5 linked regions of the Rattus norvegicus genome follow. The protein of the gene in region 3 interacts with the protein of the main gene of each other region in a biochemical or structural test. Links are inferred from orthologs where the notes say so. Each region holds a gene or a part of one and is shown on either strand. Other genes may lie near its edges.

The links.
Region 1: the proteins of Htra2 (region 3) and Xiap form a complex in vitro, tested with the Homo sapiens proteins (10 studies listed by BioGRID and IntAct, with this or other methods). The link is inferred for Rattus norvegicus from reciprocal best matches to the Homo sapiens genes HTRA2 and XIAP.
Region 2: the proteins of Htra2 (region 3) and Lats1 form a complex in vitro, tested with the Homo sapiens proteins (2 studies listed by BioGRID, with this or other methods). The link is inferred for Rattus norvegicus from reciprocal best matches to the Homo sapiens genes HTRA2 and LATS1.
Region 4: of the proteins of Htra2 (region 3) and Mapk12, one has a biochemical effect on the other in vitro, tested with the Homo sapiens proteins (2 studies listed by BioGRID and IntAct, with this or other methods). The link is inferred for Rattus norvegicus from reciprocal best matches to the Homo sapiens genes HTRA2 and MAPK12.
Region 5: of the proteins of Htra2 (region 3) and Csn2, one has a biochemical effect on the other in vitro, tested with the Homo sapiens proteins (2 studies listed by BioGRID). The link is inferred for Rattus norvegicus from reciprocal best matches to the Homo sapiens genes HTRA2 and CSN2.

What each region holds. Positions count from the first base shown.
Region 1 is NC_086039.1:125,791,006-125,794,505, reverse strand, and holds part of Xiap (E3 ubiquitin-protein ligase XIAP), read right to left. Parts: intron 2,862-3,500; coding exon 2,819-2,861; intron 976-2,818; coding exon 775-975; intron 1-774.
Region 2 is NC_086019.1:4,001,301-4,004,800, reverse strand, and holds part of Lats1 (serine/threonine-protein kinase LATS1), read right to left. Parts: intron 2,797-3,500; coding exon of another isoform or gene 2,788-2,796; exon of another isoform or gene 2,734-2,787; intron 1,662-2,733; coding exon 1,079-1,661; intron 1-1,078. UniProt on the Homo sapiens protein: Negative regulator of YAP1 in the Hippo signaling pathway that plays a pivotal role in organ size control and tumor suppression by restricting proliferation and promoting apoptosis.
Region 3 is NC_086022.1:117,114,994-117,119,178, forward strand, and holds the start of Htra2 (serine protease HTRA2, mitochondrial), read right to left. Parts: upstream 2,801-4,185; 5' UTR 2,777-2,800; coding exon 2,271-2,776; intron 2,167-2,270; coding exon 1,962-2,166; intron 1,873-1,961; coding exon 1,678-1,872; intron 1,416-1,677; coding exon 1,383-1,415; intron 1,224-1,382; exon of another isoform or gene 1,168-1,223; coding exon 1,062-1,167; intron 914-1,061; coding exon 844-913; intron 190-843; coding exon 94-189; exon of another isoform or gene 88-93; intron 1-87. Other genes in the region: lipid droplet-regulating VLDL assembly factor AUP1, read left to right, coding at 3,126-3,175, 3,254-3,391, 3,471-3,621, 3,845-4,029.
Region 4 is NC_086025.1:122,086,308-122,089,807, reverse strand, and holds part of Mapk12 (mitogen-activated protein kinase 12), read left to right. Parts: intron 1-48; coding exon 49-163; intron 164-1,240; coding exon 1,241-1,312; intron 1,313-1,410; coding exon 1,411-1,490; intron 1,491-1,560; coding exon 1,561-1,639; intron 1,640-1,722; coding exon 1,723-1,896; intron 1,897-3,433; coding exon 3,434-3,500. UniProt on the Homo sapiens protein: Serine/threonine kinase which acts as an essential component of the MAP kinase signal transduction pathway.
Region 5 is NC_086032.1:20,604,824-20,607,192, forward strand, and holds part of Csn2 (beta-casein precursor), read left to right. Parts: intron 1-626; coding exon 627-650; intron 651-739; coding exon 740-781; intron 782-1,940; coding exon 1,941-2,369. UniProt on the Homo sapiens protein: Important role in determination of the surface properties of the casein micelles.

The sequences.
Region 1 (3,500 bases), on a different chromosome or scaffold from region 3:
ACGCTCACATGCTGCAAGCTTAACCTTCCACAATGATGCTCAGAGGAAAGGCTTTGGGAAAGAGTCAAGTGTTAGTGGACAATGCTTTGGTACCAGAGAACATGTATTGTTTCTAATGTCATAGCATAATGCATCACGGGTTTGTGAGGATGTTGGTATGAATCAACCTCCTAAGCTGCTAGTTATATGAAAGCATAACATATAGTTAATAAAACTTGATAAGAGGCCACAACAAGTGGTTGGGACACATGCCATCTATGTTTGTGTAAGTATAAGTGATGACGTTCATTCAATGATGAGATTATGTAACAACCCATGTCTCAACACATATATTCATTGTTAAGCAATGCATGAATACAATTAGGTTTGATCAAGTCATAAGCATGAGAACTCTTGGGGGAATTTTTAGCATGAAATACACACTACTTTGGGAAGTCAACTATCTGCAGGGGATCTACTTTTGGACTTTCCCAGTTCTGTGGAATTTTCTTATAGTAGCCTGAGGAAGCAGCATTAAGGGCACATGTACAAATACCCTTCTATGTTGAATATATGTCAAAATAGACATTTACTATGGCCAAAAAGAGAGAAGATGGGACTTAAGATGACAAAAAAGTTGCTTATTATTGAAGCGAACCCATTCTTCTTTCCACTTCTGTTTGTGTTTCAAGTTTACCATAATAAAAGAGTCAAAGTGTTAATGCCATGGGGATATTAGAGAGGAAATGAATGGGCTGCAAGGTGATTTTCCCGACAGAAACAAGCAATGTATACCTTTCTGCAATGAAGTCTGACTTGACTCATCCTGCGAATTATCTTTCTGAGCACTCACAAGATCTGCAATCAGAACCTCAAGTGATAGATAGTTGCTCCCAGATGTTTGGAGCTTTTCTTCCATTGTTTTCTTGATGTCCTTGAAGTTGAATCCCATTCGTATAGCTTCTTGCACCATAGGATTCTGGAAGATGGTATCATCTGAAATCAAAGTTGGGTGGAGAAAGAACATAATACAAGTATTTTCATTAACATGACTGAACAGTAAAACAGTTAAGGGACTTAAGATAGCTGAAGAGTTCAGTGGTAGTGTTTGCCTACTATATGTGGTGTTGTGGTTTTGATCCCCAAAGTTAAGAAGAAAAGCGGTGGTGCACGCCATTATTCCCAGCACTCAGGAGGCAGGGACAGGCAGATCTTTGAGTTCTAGCCTTGCCTGGTCTACAGAGAAAGTTCAAATACATCCAGGAAACCCTGTCTTGAGAAACCACAAAAAGTATGCTAGGGAAAATTCTTTCTTTAACTTTGTTATTTATGCCTGTTACCAAATCCATTCCAAATAATTCAACATAGCCCCGCATTTCGAGCATATTTATAAATACCTGTAGTATTCTCCTGCTTTCTAATCCTTGACACACAAAACAGATGATGTTACAACATTAGGGAACAGGGACTCATCAGATACTCTAAATTAAGCTTTCTTTGAAACATACCACTTCAATTGAAAAAGCAGATCTTAAAAACAATCAACAAACCCCACAAAAGACAAATAAATCGAAACTCCAAAAGAACTCCAGTGTCAGGTGTTATGGTGTACACCTTTAATTTTAACACTCTGAAGGCAGAGGCAGGAAGGTATTTGGGAATTTGAGACCAGCCTGATCTTCAAAGTGAGTTCTAGGACAGTTGAGATACAATGAAACACTTTGTTCCACACCACTACCACCAAAACACCATACATAACCCCACTAAAAATTACATCTACAATATGCTATGTGATTTAGAAGACCTTGTTTATAATGCTAGTTCTATTACTAATTTATAATAGTATATACCTTTAATTGGGAGACAGAGGCAGGCAGATCTCTGTGAGTTTGAGGCTAGCCTGGTGTATAAAGCAAATTCATTATAGCCAGAGTACACAGAGAAACCCTATCTCTAAAAACAAAACAAAACGAAACAAAACAAAATGATAACACGGCAGTAGGCAGATCACATCACCTCTTTGTTTCTTCAAGGGAACTGTAGGAACACTACTGAGGCTGCAGCTCAGAGTACTTGGCATTCACTGGGCTCGGCTGCCAGCACACTATCAGCTTTAGCTGTATATGGGGGTACACTCCCTCAATCCCAGCACTTAAGAGACTGAGGCAGAAAGAGAGAGGTCCAGGCCAGTCCGGCCTACACAGTAGATAGACTACTGAGATGGCTCAGAGGCTAAGAACACTTGCTCTCCCAGAGGACCTGAATTCAGTTCCCAGCACTCACATGGTGGCTCACAACCACCTTTAACTTCAGTTCCAGGGGATCTGATACCTCTCCTGGCTTCTGGGGCAACTAGGCACACATATATGAAGGCTAAACACCCATACATATAAAATAAATAAATGAATGAAAAATTAAAATCTAAACTTTTAATACCTTTGTTGCTTTAATACATTTTCCTCCCTCCGTTCCTTCCTTTCTTAAAACCATGCCATGCAACCCAGACTGACCACAGGTTCCGGATTCTCCTGCTTCAACATCCTCAGTGCTCGGATTATAGATTTGCACCATAGCACCTGGCTTTCTTTTTTTTTTTTTTTTTTTTTTTTTTTTCTTCTTTTTTTGGTTCTTTTTTTCGGAGCTGGGGACCGAACCCAGGGCCTTGCGCTTCCTAGGCAAGCGCTCTAGCACCTGGCTTTCTATTAATGTACTCACTACAAAAATGTCTGGTATAAAATTATAAGCACTTAATTAAATTCTTAAATTTATAGCAGCCTCATTAAACAAACTATAATAAACTGGCCACAAAACTAAACAGATTTTTAATAAACATATTTACCGATTTTTTTAGTTACTGATGGTGTTTTTTCAGCAGTTCTTACCTAAAATAGAAACATGAATGGTAAGATTTCACTTTAGCAAAAAGCAATTATCTCAATTTGAAAAGTTAATAAACATAAAACAAATTGGCTTTATTCTAATTCGAAACATGCCTATCCATAAGAGCCCAGCCAACAGAATGGAAGGAAGGCAAGACTATCTAATCATCGCCCCTTTACAAACAAGAAGCCAAGGGCCAATGAGATCAAATGACTCCCCGGAGGGAAACAAATACAAACTCAACTAGAAACTAATGGTAGAACCATCATGTCAGTTCTAGACTCCCATCACAGTCCAAGGTTCTTCTCAGTTTACTAATGCTATGATTGCCACTGTCCTATATGTCAATTCAGACATATTATTAAATTTTTTTGTCTTATCAGAGATTGAATCCAGGGGCTTGTTTATGCTAGCCAGAAAAAGTAAAACCCATGTATATCCCTGTCCTTATTTTTGTAATCTTAAGTATTATCCGCTAAAGGGTTACTAAAGAGATGGTTTAGCAGTTAAGAACACCTGTTGCTCTCCTAGAAGACCAGAGTTCAGTTCCCAGAATTCATACTGGGCAGCTTATAACTGCCTGTAATTTTAATACCAAATCATGCCCTTTTATGGCTTCCTCAGGTACAACACATGGTGTG
Region 2 (3,500 bases), on a different chromosome or scaffold from region 3:
ACATGGGCCCTGTAATCAGACAAACCTAAGTTCAAAGCCTAGCCCTTACACTTAACTTTGTCTGACCTTGGATGAGTTACTTCACCTAAGTCTCACATCTTCATTCTGCTTCAGTGTCATATGACTAAATAGAATCATGTGTATGTATGTGTTGGGTTAAAAGGTTATATGACAGTTAAACAGGTTATATGCTCTAAATAGCACTGAAAACACACACTTTCATAGAGAAACCTCAAAAACAAAACAAGTAAACAAAAAAAGAAACAAAAATACATAATGATTATAGTTTCAAAAATAGAAAAAAAGAAGTAATATATTGGTGAGAAATATAATATATAAAGCTATACAATATGGTGTCCAGGCCTAGTTGCACAGGCCTATGATCCCAATTATTAGAAACCTGAGGCTGAAGGAACCCAAGTTGAAGCTTATACTGGGTATAAGTTCAACTGTAGTCTGGGCAACCTACTGAGATATTGTTTCAAAATAAGAAATACACATGGTAAGGCTGCAGCTCGGGAGTAGAATGCTTGTCTAGCAGGCAGGGGCTCGGAAATAGCAGCAGCAAAATAAGAAAAGTAAAGAATGGGGTACAACGTTCTAAATAATGGATGTCTCCGGGGAGACTTTATTCAAAAATTATTTTAAAAACTGGCACATTTCAAAAGTTACAAAATTTTGTATTAGTTACTTAAATTTTTTTTAAAATTTATTTATTTTCTGTATACGAGTACACTGTAGCTGTCTTCAGACATACCAGATCCCATTACAGATGGTTGTGAGCCACCATGTGGTTGCTGGGATTTGAACTCAGGACCTCTGGAAGAGCAGTCGGCGCTCTTAACCACTGAGCCATCTCTCCAGCCCCTTAAAATTTTTAAATAATATTTAGAAATAAACTTTATGTACTTTTTAACTTTATAAATGTATATGCTCATGAGATTCATCCAGATTTATTAAGAAAGTAAGAACCAGTCTATATGTCTACTGGTCTCATCAGCGTTGAAGCCATTGTAAGTCGTGCTGCATAAACGGACTACACTATGGTGAGTTCAATGGAACTTACAAGCTCACTTACCACTCTGGTAGTACTTGGAGTCATGTGTCCATCTGAAGCCAGTGCACAAGCCAAAGTCAGTCAATTTAATATGTCCATCTCGGTCAATCAAAATGTTATCAGGTTTAATGTCTCTATGAATAAAACCCATTTTATGAACACTTTCAACTGCACAGGTAAGTTCTGCTATGTAGAATCGTGCCAGGTTTTCGGGAAAGATGCCCATTCTAATTAACAGGCTCATCATATCACCCCCAGGAATGTAGTCCATCACAAAGTACAAGTTGTCCTTGTCCTGGAATGAGTAGTACAAGCGGACCACCCACTCGTTGTCAGCTTCTGCTAGGATATCTCGCTCAGCTTTCACATGAGCCACCTGATTTCGGAGCAGAACGTCTTTCTTTCGTAGAGTTTTTGTTGCATACAAAGCTTTCGTATCGACTTTTCTTGCTAGACAGACTTCACCAAATGCTCCTATTCCTAATGTCTTTATCTTTACAAACATAGACTTGTCCATTTTAGCCCTTTTAAGACGAATATAGTTAGACTCTTTCTGGCAAAGCATCTTTCTCATTTGATCCTGGGCATCTTGAGATAATCCAACCTAGGTAAATAAACTAGAGGTTAAATAAGGAATTGTATTAAATAGTAAGACACGGCTTAAAAAATAATTCAGGCATATTTTTGAAAGTTAAATGCATAATTTTTAATAAAGCATGTTAGAATTCTAGACTGTATTTCAGAGAAAAATTAATGATCAAGTCAAGCTTAAGAGATAGTAAACAATACACAAAGTGAGTATATATGCAAATCCAGCTGTGGGGAGCAACAAGAGGACATCAACAGTCAGGCTTCTACTCCTCTCTAAAGCACTCAAGGAATAGCTTCGAATGCACAATAAAACCAGTGTCTGTGAACACACATTCTCAGTTCTCGTCATGCACATCTCCAGACTACAGGGTCAGACACCTTCACTAAATCTTTTTTTGTAGAATGGCTAGGCCTCAAATATTTTCCCCTTGATTTTCTTTCACAGAAAGAATTCTTTCACTCTAGGTTCAATCATTCTTTAAAACAGGAAGGAAGGAGGGAGGAAGGAGGGAGGGAGGAAGGAGGGAGGGAGGGAGGAAGGGTGGCCTCAGCTGGTAAAGGCACCTCTGGCCAAGTCTGACTCTCTCCGTTAATCTAGGACCACATGGTGGGCAGAAGCAACCAACTCCTTCATGTTGTCCTCTGAACTCTACATGTTCTCTGAGCTAAAAAAATAAATAAAAGTCATGGTAATCTTCTTTTTCTTTCTTAGGATATCAGCATAAAGGTGAGACCCAGTCCACCTCTAACAAAGTACAAAAGGGATAACGTGCTTATCCTTTAGATATTCTGAAGTAGTTTTTAAAGTTCTTGTGAATAAGGGCACTATCACAATGGATGAACACAAAGGTCAGTTGTAAGCAGTGGACTTAGATGGCCTGTAGGGGTTCTTAGCTCAGGAAGAATTTACTAACGTTGAAAAGGACAAGACTTAGAAAAGTAGAGTCTAATTTTAGAAATGCAAGACTAATTTCAATACAGCAACCTCATGCTTCTGTTAGGATGTGCATTTGCATGCAATGTTTTTTCAGAGTGGTAGCATGCCAGACTTAGTACAGAACTCTTTCTCTTAAAATCTTACTTGCCTACACAGTAATGGAGGCTACAGAAGTCAGCAAAGCTTCCAACACCATGAAAGTTTAAGTCAGCTATTAGTGAAAGTGAAGAGGAAAAAGGAAAAATAAACTAAGAAAAATAGACAGACTTAAGTAAGAAATTCTAAGAACAATATGAATAAGAGAATTTGGGGTATTTCTCATTTAACATAATTATTTATAGTAAGAAAACAGTGTACTGAACTATAAAGTGAGATTTGAGAAGAAGCGTAATCTTCTCACACTTTGAGCAGTAGATGTCAAACAAGGGAGGAGTCAAAGCTTGGCGTTCTGAGCATAAGACAACACCATGATGGTGATAGTCCTACCCGGGAGCACAGCGAGCCCCGTCTCCTCCACACACCCAGCATTTCAGCACATTTTCCTCAAATATTAGAAGAGGAAAGTAACGGTAAAGCAATGGTTCTGACATTTCTTTTTACTTCTGTTTTTAGCTTTTTTCTTTGTGTGTGTGTGTGGGGGGGGGGGGCATGTGCTTTGCTGTATAGATGTGGGAACTAACAATGCAGACTGCTGGCCTCCGCCTCCTGAGTGCTGAGATTAAACGTGGGAGTCACCATGCCCAGTGATTTTAACACTTTCTAACAACGTGTATGTAAGGAATAAACATCAGATTCTCAACCAAATGACAATGCTTTCTATATGTATCAAGAGGTAACTCAGATATTTCTATCTGACTTGTGTATGTTGTAAAATAATGTATAAAATCTAGAACCTGTTGGATATTGGTAGCATAT
Region 3 (4,185 bases):
CAGGGCAAGGAAGGAGTGGACAGCTGAGTTCAAGGATACATCCACACCACCCCACCCCACCCAACCCACCCCACCGAGCAGGCGCCACATCACCTGTGTGCAGGGGAGCCCAGGATAACTTTATGAATGAGGACACCATGCTGAACATCAGGGAAACTTGGCTCTCGGAGCTGTAGCTCAGCAAGGATGCTGGAAGGGTACAGACCACTCTGTTAGCAACACACAGGCCCTCTCCCATCTTGACAGTTCACTTTCTGCCTTCTAGAGCTTAGGAAGTAGGATACACACATAAAAGACAGCTAACTGGGGCTGGGGATTTAGCTCAGTGGTAGAGCGCTTACCTAGGAAGCGCAAGGCCCTGGGTTCGGTCCCCAGCTCCGAAAAAAAAAAAAAGAACCAAAAAAAAAAAAAAAAAAAAAAGACAGCTAATTTCAAAAGATACACAGTGTTGAATCAACTTCACTTCTGTCACTCTGAAATTCTACGGTAAGGAAGGGGTAGAACTTAAGCTAAGCCTAGAAGGGTGGGCCCTACAACTGTATGAAATAAAGTTGAGACATAGAAGTGGAAAGTCAAAGTCACTCTGAGGAAATGATGAGCTGTCTAGAAGGATAACTAGAGGTGGGAGAGATCGTTCCTCAATGCTAGGGCAATGGAGGCTTTACATTATGGTAATAACAGGATGTACTCAGTCTACTGAAGGGTACGAGATGCATAGGTGAGAAAGTTATGATGAGAGGGAGCAGCTCTGTGACAGAGACAACAGCTAATATTAAAGACAAACATAGGAGCAAAAGCCAAGAGGTGCACCACTGAGAACATGGGTCCTATATATATGTATACCTGGGGGTCAGAGTCAGCATCATCACTCCAATGTAGCGGCGTTGGGACCCACTGATTCCAAACCAGGAATCTGTAAAGAGAACATGAGCCCACCAGCTTCATTCTTTCCCTTACTTCCTACCAGTTAGACCCCTCTACACCAAGTCCTGATGAATGCCCCTCCCTTGGGTCCCCTCCTCCATTTTAAAGGAATCCCTTTCCCTGTAAGACAGGCTCACTTTTCTTCTCCCCGCGATGCAGGAACTCCCTAAGGCGATCAGAAGGGATGGCAAAGGAGATTCCAGCTGTCACCTTCATGGTGTTCACTCCAATCACCTCCCCATCCTGCAGGGACACAGCCCCATCCCCTAGCCCACACAGATGGCAGAGGATGGGGGCACCTGAACAAGAGTAGCAAGGATTTGGGGACAGGGGTCTGTCTGACTATGAGGAGACGAACAAGAGGCTAGAGACTTAGCTAAAACTCCCTGAATCAGAGGATAACACACACTTCCCACACTGACCTGTGGGGCATGCATTCTTAGAACATGGGCACTCACCAGGTTAACCAGGGGACCACCAGAATTTCCAAACTGTGAGATAAAATGAAAGAAAACATCAAAAAGATCTGGAATTCCATGCCTCTGGGAATTTTAAGACTGTGGTCATAAACAGGGTTAGGGAAATACTTCGAATTCCATTCCTAGCATGAACTAGAGTGGCTGCATTTTGCAGACCAACCTCTGCTACAGGCCCAGTCACCACGTGTCAGCTGGTGTCAGCTGGTGATCATACCTGACAGCTGTTGCCCCCAATTCCCACCTAGCACCTAATTTCCCTCCTCTCAGGACGCACGTCAATAGCTGCATCGGTCTGAATGTATTCCACGTTGGTCTGAGGGAGCCCCAGGTCCCTGGCTGGTCGCTGAGCAGAGCTGACAATGCCGGACGTGATGGTGTTCTGCAGAGCGAAGGGACTTCCCATGGCAACAACAAACTCCCCTTGCCGGACATCAGCGGAGCGGCCGAGGGGCAGTGTGGGAAGAGGCTCCTTAAGGGAAATGAGTACACCAAAACTGGTCATTTTAAGACGGAAGGAAGTAAACTGCTGCCATCAGATCTGGCCTACTCCATTCCCACCTTGGTTTGAATCCTTAATGTGGCAATGTCTGCTACAGGATCCACAGCTGTGACCATGGCCTCATAAGTGTCTCCGCTAGGTAGCCTCACTCGCACTCGGCGCCGATCAGCCACCACGTGGGCGTTGGTTACGATGAGCCCATCTGAAGCCACTATGAATCCTGAACCGTTTGAGATGGGGACTTCACGGCCGGAGAAAGGGTGCCTGGGATGGGGAAAGCACCGATTACACTGCAGCTTCCACCCTATCCTGTTCCCTTGCCTTTCCGGCATTTGGTTTCAACACCACCTGGTCAACTTCACCATTACCGGTCTAGGATCTCGATATAGACCACAGCAGGGGCTGTCTTCTCCACCACGTCTGCGATGAAATTGTACTGGCTCCGGGGAGAGGTGGGTGGCGGAGCAGGAACAGCAGCCAGCACCGTGGAAGGACCCCGCCCCCAACCCCACAACAACAGCAGCACTGCACCCCCTGCGCCCAACGCCACCGCTAGCCATTCGCGCCGACGGCTTCCAGGGCTCCCGCAGTCCTCCTGGTCACTAGAGCCTGGAGTCCCCACAGTCAGTCGTACCCAGAGATCCGGGGTCCCAGACGTCAGATTTGCCCGTGATGCAAGGACCCCCAAAGGCACCCGGGCCGGGAGACTGGGGGTCCCATAAGTCATCCGGGCCTGAGGGTCAGGAGTTCCTGACGTCAGCAGAGCCCGGAGGTCAGGGGCTAACAGGGGGCCCTTCCTCCAGAAGATGCCCCCCAAAGCCCGCCATGCCCGAAGGCTCCAGTTTGCACCCCGCCCCGCCTTCAGCGCAGCCATCTGCTCCGCCTCGGCTCTCCACGCCCGCCCTACTCAGAGGCGGTCTTCTGGAGCCCAGCAAGCCGTCTAGGAGAAGCAAGGCATGCCGGTATCCTTACAGTGTATGCCGGGAAATGTAGTCCCTTCAAAGACGCGCTCTCTAGACCGTACACACGCCCCCACACAAACACACACACATACACTTCCCCCGTGCCGCGAGGCATGCTGGGAACGCTAGCCCTTCCGGGGCGCCTCCGGGCCACGGGTTCTAGCGTCCCTGCGGCTGCCCAAAGACTCCGCCTTCCCAGGAGCCCCCGCGGCCCTGCGAAGATGGCGGCGACAGCGGCCCCACTTTCCTGAAGCGGCTGCGATGGAACCTCCCCCAGCTCCGGGGCCGGAGCGGCTCTTTGACTCGCACCGGTAAGCGCTGCGGAGGGAAGAGACCGGTCAGCGCGTCCCGTCGGCTTCGGCGCCTGATCGCGTCGCCTCTCGCCACAGGCTCCCGAGTGACGGCTTCCTGCTGCTCGCGCTATTGCTCTACGCGCCGGTCGGCCTCTGCCTCCTGGTTCTGCGACTCTTCCTCGGGCTCCACGTCTTCCTGGTCAGCTGTGCTCTTCCTGACAGCGTCCTCCGCAGGTGCGGACTGCGGCGCCTGGGGATCATCTGGTCTGGGCCTGGCTCAAGACCGCACAGTCACCGCCGCCTCTGTCCCCAGGTTCGTGGTACGAACCATGTGTGCGGTACTGGGGCTCGTGGCCCGACAGGAGGACTCCGGACTCCGGGATCACCGCGTCAGGGTCCTTATTTCCAACCATGTAACACCTTTTGACCACAACATAGTCAACCTTCTCACCACCTGTAGCACCGTGAGTGGGGGGCGAGGCCGAGAGCGCCACCGGGTGGCTCCCTAGGCCCAAGCTCAAGGCTCACCTTTACCCATTGGGGTTTGCTTGGGGAATACCGAGCCTTCTCCCTCGAGTCCCATAAACGCCACCCTATGTGTTACCTTTTTACTCTTTCTTCTCTTCTTTCTTTATTTTTGACATTTCCTTCCATTCTTTTCTTTTTGCTTTTTCTCCCTGCTCTCAGCCTCTACTCAATAGTCCCCCCAGCTTTGTATGTTGGTCTCGGGGCTTCATGGAGATGGATAGGCGGGTGGAGTTGGTGGAGTCACTCAAGAAATTCTGTGCTTCCACGAGGCTTCCACCCACACCTTTGCTGCTCTTCCCCGAGGAAGAGGCCACCAATGGCCGAGAAGGGCTCCTGCGTTTCAGGTGGGTAAGCGCAGCAGGTATCTGGTTCCAGTTGAGTGGGTTGCCAAGCTCCTGGGTGAGCCTGCCCTAGTGTGTTACCTGTCTGCCCACTTTTAGCCCTGCCCTCCAAATTCTTAATTCCTCGGTTATCTGCTTATGTAGTTGGACAGTTTACTA
Region 4 (3,500 bases), on a different chromosome or scaffold from region 3:
GTGGTCTATCCTCGGTGTCTAAGTTCCACCTCCCTGATACTTCTTTAGATCCTAGATTTTGGCCTTGCCAGGCAGGCGGACAGTGAGATGACAGGATATGTGGTAACCCGGTGGTATCGGGCACCAGAGGTCATCTTGAATTGGATGCGTTACACACAGACAGGTAAGAGGCTATTCAGAGACTCCAGTGCATGCCACCCACATTTACACATTCGTTTTATTTTTAAATTATTTTTGTAGTATTGGCGATGGAATCCAGTCTTATTCATGCTAGTCAAGTGCCCTGTCATTGAGCTACATCTCAGCCAGCCTGCCTGCCTTCCTTCCTTCCTTCCTTCCTTCCTTCCTTCCTTCCTTCCTTCCTTCCTTCTCTCTCTCCCCTCCTTTCTCCATTTTTATTATTTGTTGAGAAAAATGTGTGTGTACGTATATATATTCAGTTTGGTTGTTTTGAAGACAGGGTCTTACTATGTAGCTCTGGTTATTTTTGGAACTCACTATGTAGACTAGGCTGGCCTTGAACTCACAGAGATCCACTTGGCTCTGCTTCTTCTTGCTTGCTTGCTTGCTTGCTTGCTTGCTTGCTTTCTAGACCTTTTGTAGTCCTGGCTGGCTTGGAACTCACTAGGTAGACCAGGCTGGTCTTGAATCCACAGAGATCGACCTGCTTTTGTCTGTTACAACCTGGGGATTAAAGGCTGTATTACCATGTCCAACCCATTCTTATTTTTTTTTTCTTTTTTTCGGAGCTAGGGACCGAACCCAGGGCCTTGCGCATTCTTAATTTTTATAAGAACCTATTTCATTATTTTATGTGTGTAAGTACTTATGTGCACGTGTCCATCACCTGTGTACTTGGTGCCCACAGACACCAGAAGAAGGCACTGGGTTCTCTAGCACTGGAGTCACAGATGGCCGTGAGCTATCACGTAGGTGCTGAAAACCAAACCAAGGTCTTCTGGAATAGCATCCCTCGCTCTTAACTGATTAGCCACTTCTAGCTCCCTTCATTTCTTGATAGGGAGTCATTTGTAGGCCCTACCTCTGGGAGGTTAGTGAACTGGGGTGGAACTCTGTCACCCTCCTCAATGACAGTCTCTGCTCTGTGCCTATGTACACACCTGCCTCCCTGTCACGTATACTTGTCTCCTATGTGTGGTTTCTTGTGTGTCCCCTTTTCTTGGCCTTCATGAATGTGAATGTGACCCTTGTGTGTGGGGCACCGATGGACGTTTCTCAGTGGACATTTGGTCTGTTGGCTGCATCATGGCAGAGATGATTACTGGAAAGATCCTGTTCAAAGGCAATGACCGTATCCTTCGATGTAGAACATCATTTGACTTTGGCCATGATGTGGGTTCTGGGTGGGCCACCCTCTGCCCCTGCATTGTATTCCTGACCTTGATACAGACCTGGACCAGCTGAAGGAGATCATGAAAGTCACAGGGACACCCCCTCCTGAGTTTGTACAGAAGCTACAGAGTGCTGAGGTCAGTGGGGAGTGGGCAATGGGCTGGACTTGGACTTAGAGGCTGGCCTATCACCCTTTTTCCCTCACAGGCCAAGAACTACATGGAAGGCCTCCCTGAGTTGGAAAAGAAGGATTTTGCTTCTGTCCTGACCAATGCAAGCCCTCAGGGTAGGGCTGGATGGGTGAAGGTTTCAGGCAACTGGGTGAGTATGCCCTCTTTTGTGGCTGGGCCTGATTTGCTCTCCCCACAGCCGTGAATCTCCTGGAAAAGATGCTGGTGTTGGATGCGGAACAGCGGGTGACAGCAGCTGAGGCATTAGCCCACCCATACTTTGAGTCCCTTCGGGACACTGAGGATGAGCCCAAGGCCCAGAAATATGATGACTCCTTTGATGACGTAGACCGCACCCTTGAGGAATGGAAGCGTGAGTATGGGTGACACATAATGTCAGGCTTTGGACCCTGTGCGTCCTGTGTGGATGAGCCTCCGACCCTGGGTTGCAGGTTAGATAAGAAGTTGGGAGGTCAAAGGGCATTGTGGGGCAGTGCAACTCAACCAGGTTGACTTCTGGCTAGGGCAGAACGCAGTGGTGAAGAGTGTCCTTTTCAGGAGCTCTGACGAAGGCTGGCATGTGATGGGTCCCATGCCATCAGACGTGGTGCATCTGTGTGTGCTTCGCGCCCTTGGCTTGCTAATTCCCTGGCCTTTCTCTCCCCAACCCCTACACTGCCCAGTGTCCTCATGTCTAGACCACACTGAGGCCTTCTCTACCACCACCTGTCCTTAGGACTTTCTTCTCACACCTTTAAAATTTATCCTTTCCTCTCCTTAGTCCTTTTCAGAACCTCTCCTGAAACAACTATATCTTTCTTTTTTTTTTTTTTTTTTTGTTTCTTTTTTTCGGAGCTGGGGACCAAACCCAGGGCCTTGCGCTTCCTAAGCAAGCGCTCTGCCACTGAGCCAAATCCCCAACCCCAACTATATCTTTCTTATGTTCTGCCCATGGAAGACAGTATATTCCCACGCAGGCCCAAGGGCCCAACTTTTCCTTCTCACCTCCAGCCCCAGATCCCTCCACATCTATGTGCCGAACCTCCAGGTTCTGGGAAGAGCATCTTCTCTTTGAGAACTGGCCCCAGAGAAGCCTTCTCAGTTTGCCTACTGTTCCGTGGGCTGGAACTAGCCTCTGGTGTCTGCTCCAGACTGGCAGGTCCAACCTGCCAGTAGGGAGTAGGGAGGTCTGGGGACATGCTATCCCCATCCCTTGTCCTGTCTGCCTCAGACCCCAGGCCCTGTTCTTGCACCCTGGAGTGGGAAAGACTGGGTGGGTTGAGGTTCTCTCGTATCATGTTCTAAAAGCCCTGGCAGGTGTTCGTCCCTTAAGTGTTGTGTACTGATGAGCTTGGTTCTGTGTGACGAAACCCTTCTGCTGCTAAACAAAATGACTCCCTTAACCACGTACCACAAGATCCGTTCTGTGGTCTCCATCTACTCGCTGTGGCTGGATGCTGTTGCTTTCACCATAGACCACACAGACACACAACTGAGACCTCGAATAGCTCATAGCTCACACTTTCTTTTCTCGCTTCCTTTTTTTTTAAATACAGACCTACCTCTCTCTCTCTCTCTCTCTCTCTCTCTCTCTCTCTCTCTCTCTCAACACAAACCTTTTACTTTATTTTATTTATTTTTTTTCGGAGCTGGGGACCAAACCCAGGGCCTTGTGCTTGCTAGGCAAGCGCTCTACCACTGAGCTAAATCCCCAACCCCTTATTTTATTTTTTGAACATCAGCCTTCATCACTTGTTTGCCTGGGGAAATCTAGCTTCACAGCAGTCTTTAGTGTTTTTAGGTGGATTGGTCCATTTAGGATTAGATTAAAAAGCCCATGGGGGTGCTGGCTTCTCCCCTTGGTTGGAAGCTGTCTAACTGTATCATTTGCTTCTCTTCCTTTCCTGCAGGTGTTACGTATAAGGAAGTGCTCAGCTTCAAGCCTCCCAGGCAGCTAGGAGCCAGAGTTCCAAAGGA
Region 5 (2,369 bases), on a different chromosome or scaffold from region 3:
ATGACAGGCTTACTCTATAGTTAGTAGGCTGGTTTGGAGAAGGACATACTTGGCTATTAAAGTTGTCATTTATGTAAATAAGACTCAACAGGATAGGATTTAGTCCTAAATTTTCCTGAGAGTATCACATAGGTGTCTTTACTTCGAAAGCTTAGCATTTGTTTATTATTTTCTCTTAGCAATGCTGCAAATGCCTCAGAGGAAGTATTCATTTTTCATGGTTCATTTGAAGCTTAGCATATTAGCTAGTAAACTCGGAGTGATTACTACAGTATATTGTCATTAGTCTGTATTTTCAGCTATGTTTGTGTGTTTTGTTTTAGGAATGGAATTTAAAGATCTTATGTAGAGAAAGAACCACGGTTGAAGAGGGAGTTAGCATTCTTTGGATATCTCTTTGTATACCATGCTCATTTATTTTTCTGTCTTGACTGTGCTCACTATTCTTATATAAAAGAGGTTTATACAATATGTTTTAAATAATTTAAATATAAGTTTCATCAATTTTTCCCATTCATAACCTGCCACAATAACTTACTAAATTTCTTAATTTTCAATGTGAATTGAAAAATATTGCCCATTCACTAAAACTAAATGACATGGTTTTTTTTCTTTCTTTCTTGAAGGAATCCGTTGAACATATCAATGAGGTATTTTATTTCCCATTACATTTTATTTCCACACTTTGTTTTTGAAGATGAAAGGTTTGAGATTTTCACGTATTGTTTATTTCTGGCAGAAACTTCAGAAGGTGAAACTCATGGGACAGGTGCAGTCCGAGGTAAACTGTCCATCAAGAATTCTTGTCTAGAAAGTGCGTGTGGCCATCAATACCTTTTCTCCATCATGACTGCAGTTACTAGTGGTGTTATCTGCTCTTGATAATGAACACAAGCCTTTGCCAATGTGGCACTGAACTGACCACCTGCCAAATGGAGACTCTTGCTGATTAGTCTCTTTGTAGTATAGGTACTTCACTCCTAGGCCCAAAACGTTCTTAAGAATTTCTCATACATGTAGTTAACTGACTTTCAGTAGAGTCAATGGTTTTTATGCAGATTTTGCTTCATGATAGCATTTATATTTTTTGTTTATCTGGTCTTAAGGGTATTTTTAGTCCAAAAAAAGATCAGTGAGATATGTGTAGCAACTGAATGCTACACTGCTTAGTCTGGGACATAAAGTAACAGAGCAAGCCTTCAAATGAATGGTTATCCAAATAGCATCACATTCCATTAACATACCACACTTTTAGTCATATACCCAATGGGGTATAATGGAATCAAATAGTTTAACTCATTTTTTTCCCAAGTAAATTGCTTGCTGCTCACACCATATTCTTTTAGATCAAAATAAAAATTTAAAAAGTGATATCCCACTAAACCTTTTAAAATTAATTTCCCTTCAATTATAAAAAACAGTTTGTTCTATTATCATCCCACAGGGTTTGAGAAATCACTACCCTCTCATATCAAAATGAATAGCTACAGATGTAGAAGTGGCTTGGGATAAAGTGAAAAGATTTTGAGAAATCCTGAACATCAGTTTTATTTTGGACTATTTAATTCATCCATGAGTAGAATAGATTAGGAGAAAACCCTTAAGAACACTTTACTCATTTTCTTCATGTGACCCTAGACAATGCTTTCTTATGTTGTGTATCTTAAAATGAAAAGCCTTACTGTGTACTCCAGGATTGCCTAGAATTTACTTTTTATCTCAGGTTGGTCTCAAAGTATTAGCAATTCTCCTGCATCAGGCTTCAACTTGCTAGATTTAGAGCCATTAGACACTGTATTCATCTAGGCCAAGTAGATTTTTAAGCAAATGAAGATTTTTGAGGTTGTTCATTCTGTTGCTTATTATTGGGTAAAAGATTATTAATTAATCAAGAATGTCGACTTTGCTAAATTGTGGACTAAAGGTTCTTTTGTTTCTAGGATGTGCTCCAGAATAAATTTCACTCCGGCATTCAGTCAGAACCCCAGGCCATTCCATATGCCCAGACCATCTCTTGCAGTCCCATTCCACAAAACATCCAGCCTATTGCTCAACCCCCTGTGGTGCCAACTGTTGGGCCTATCATTTCTCCTGAACTGGAATCCTTCCTTAAAGCTAAAGCCACTGTCCTTCCCAAGCACAAACAGATGCCCTTCCTTAACTCTGAAACCGTGCTCCGCCTCTTTAACTCTCAAATCCCCAGTCTTGATCTTGCTAATCTGCACCTTCCTCAGTCTCCAGCCCAGCTCCAGGCACAAATTGTGCAGGCTTTTCCTCAGACTCCCGCGGTGGTTTCTTCTCAGCCCCAGCTGTCTCTTCCTCAGTCCAAAAGTCAGTACCTTGTGCAGCAACTAGCACCCCTCTTCCAA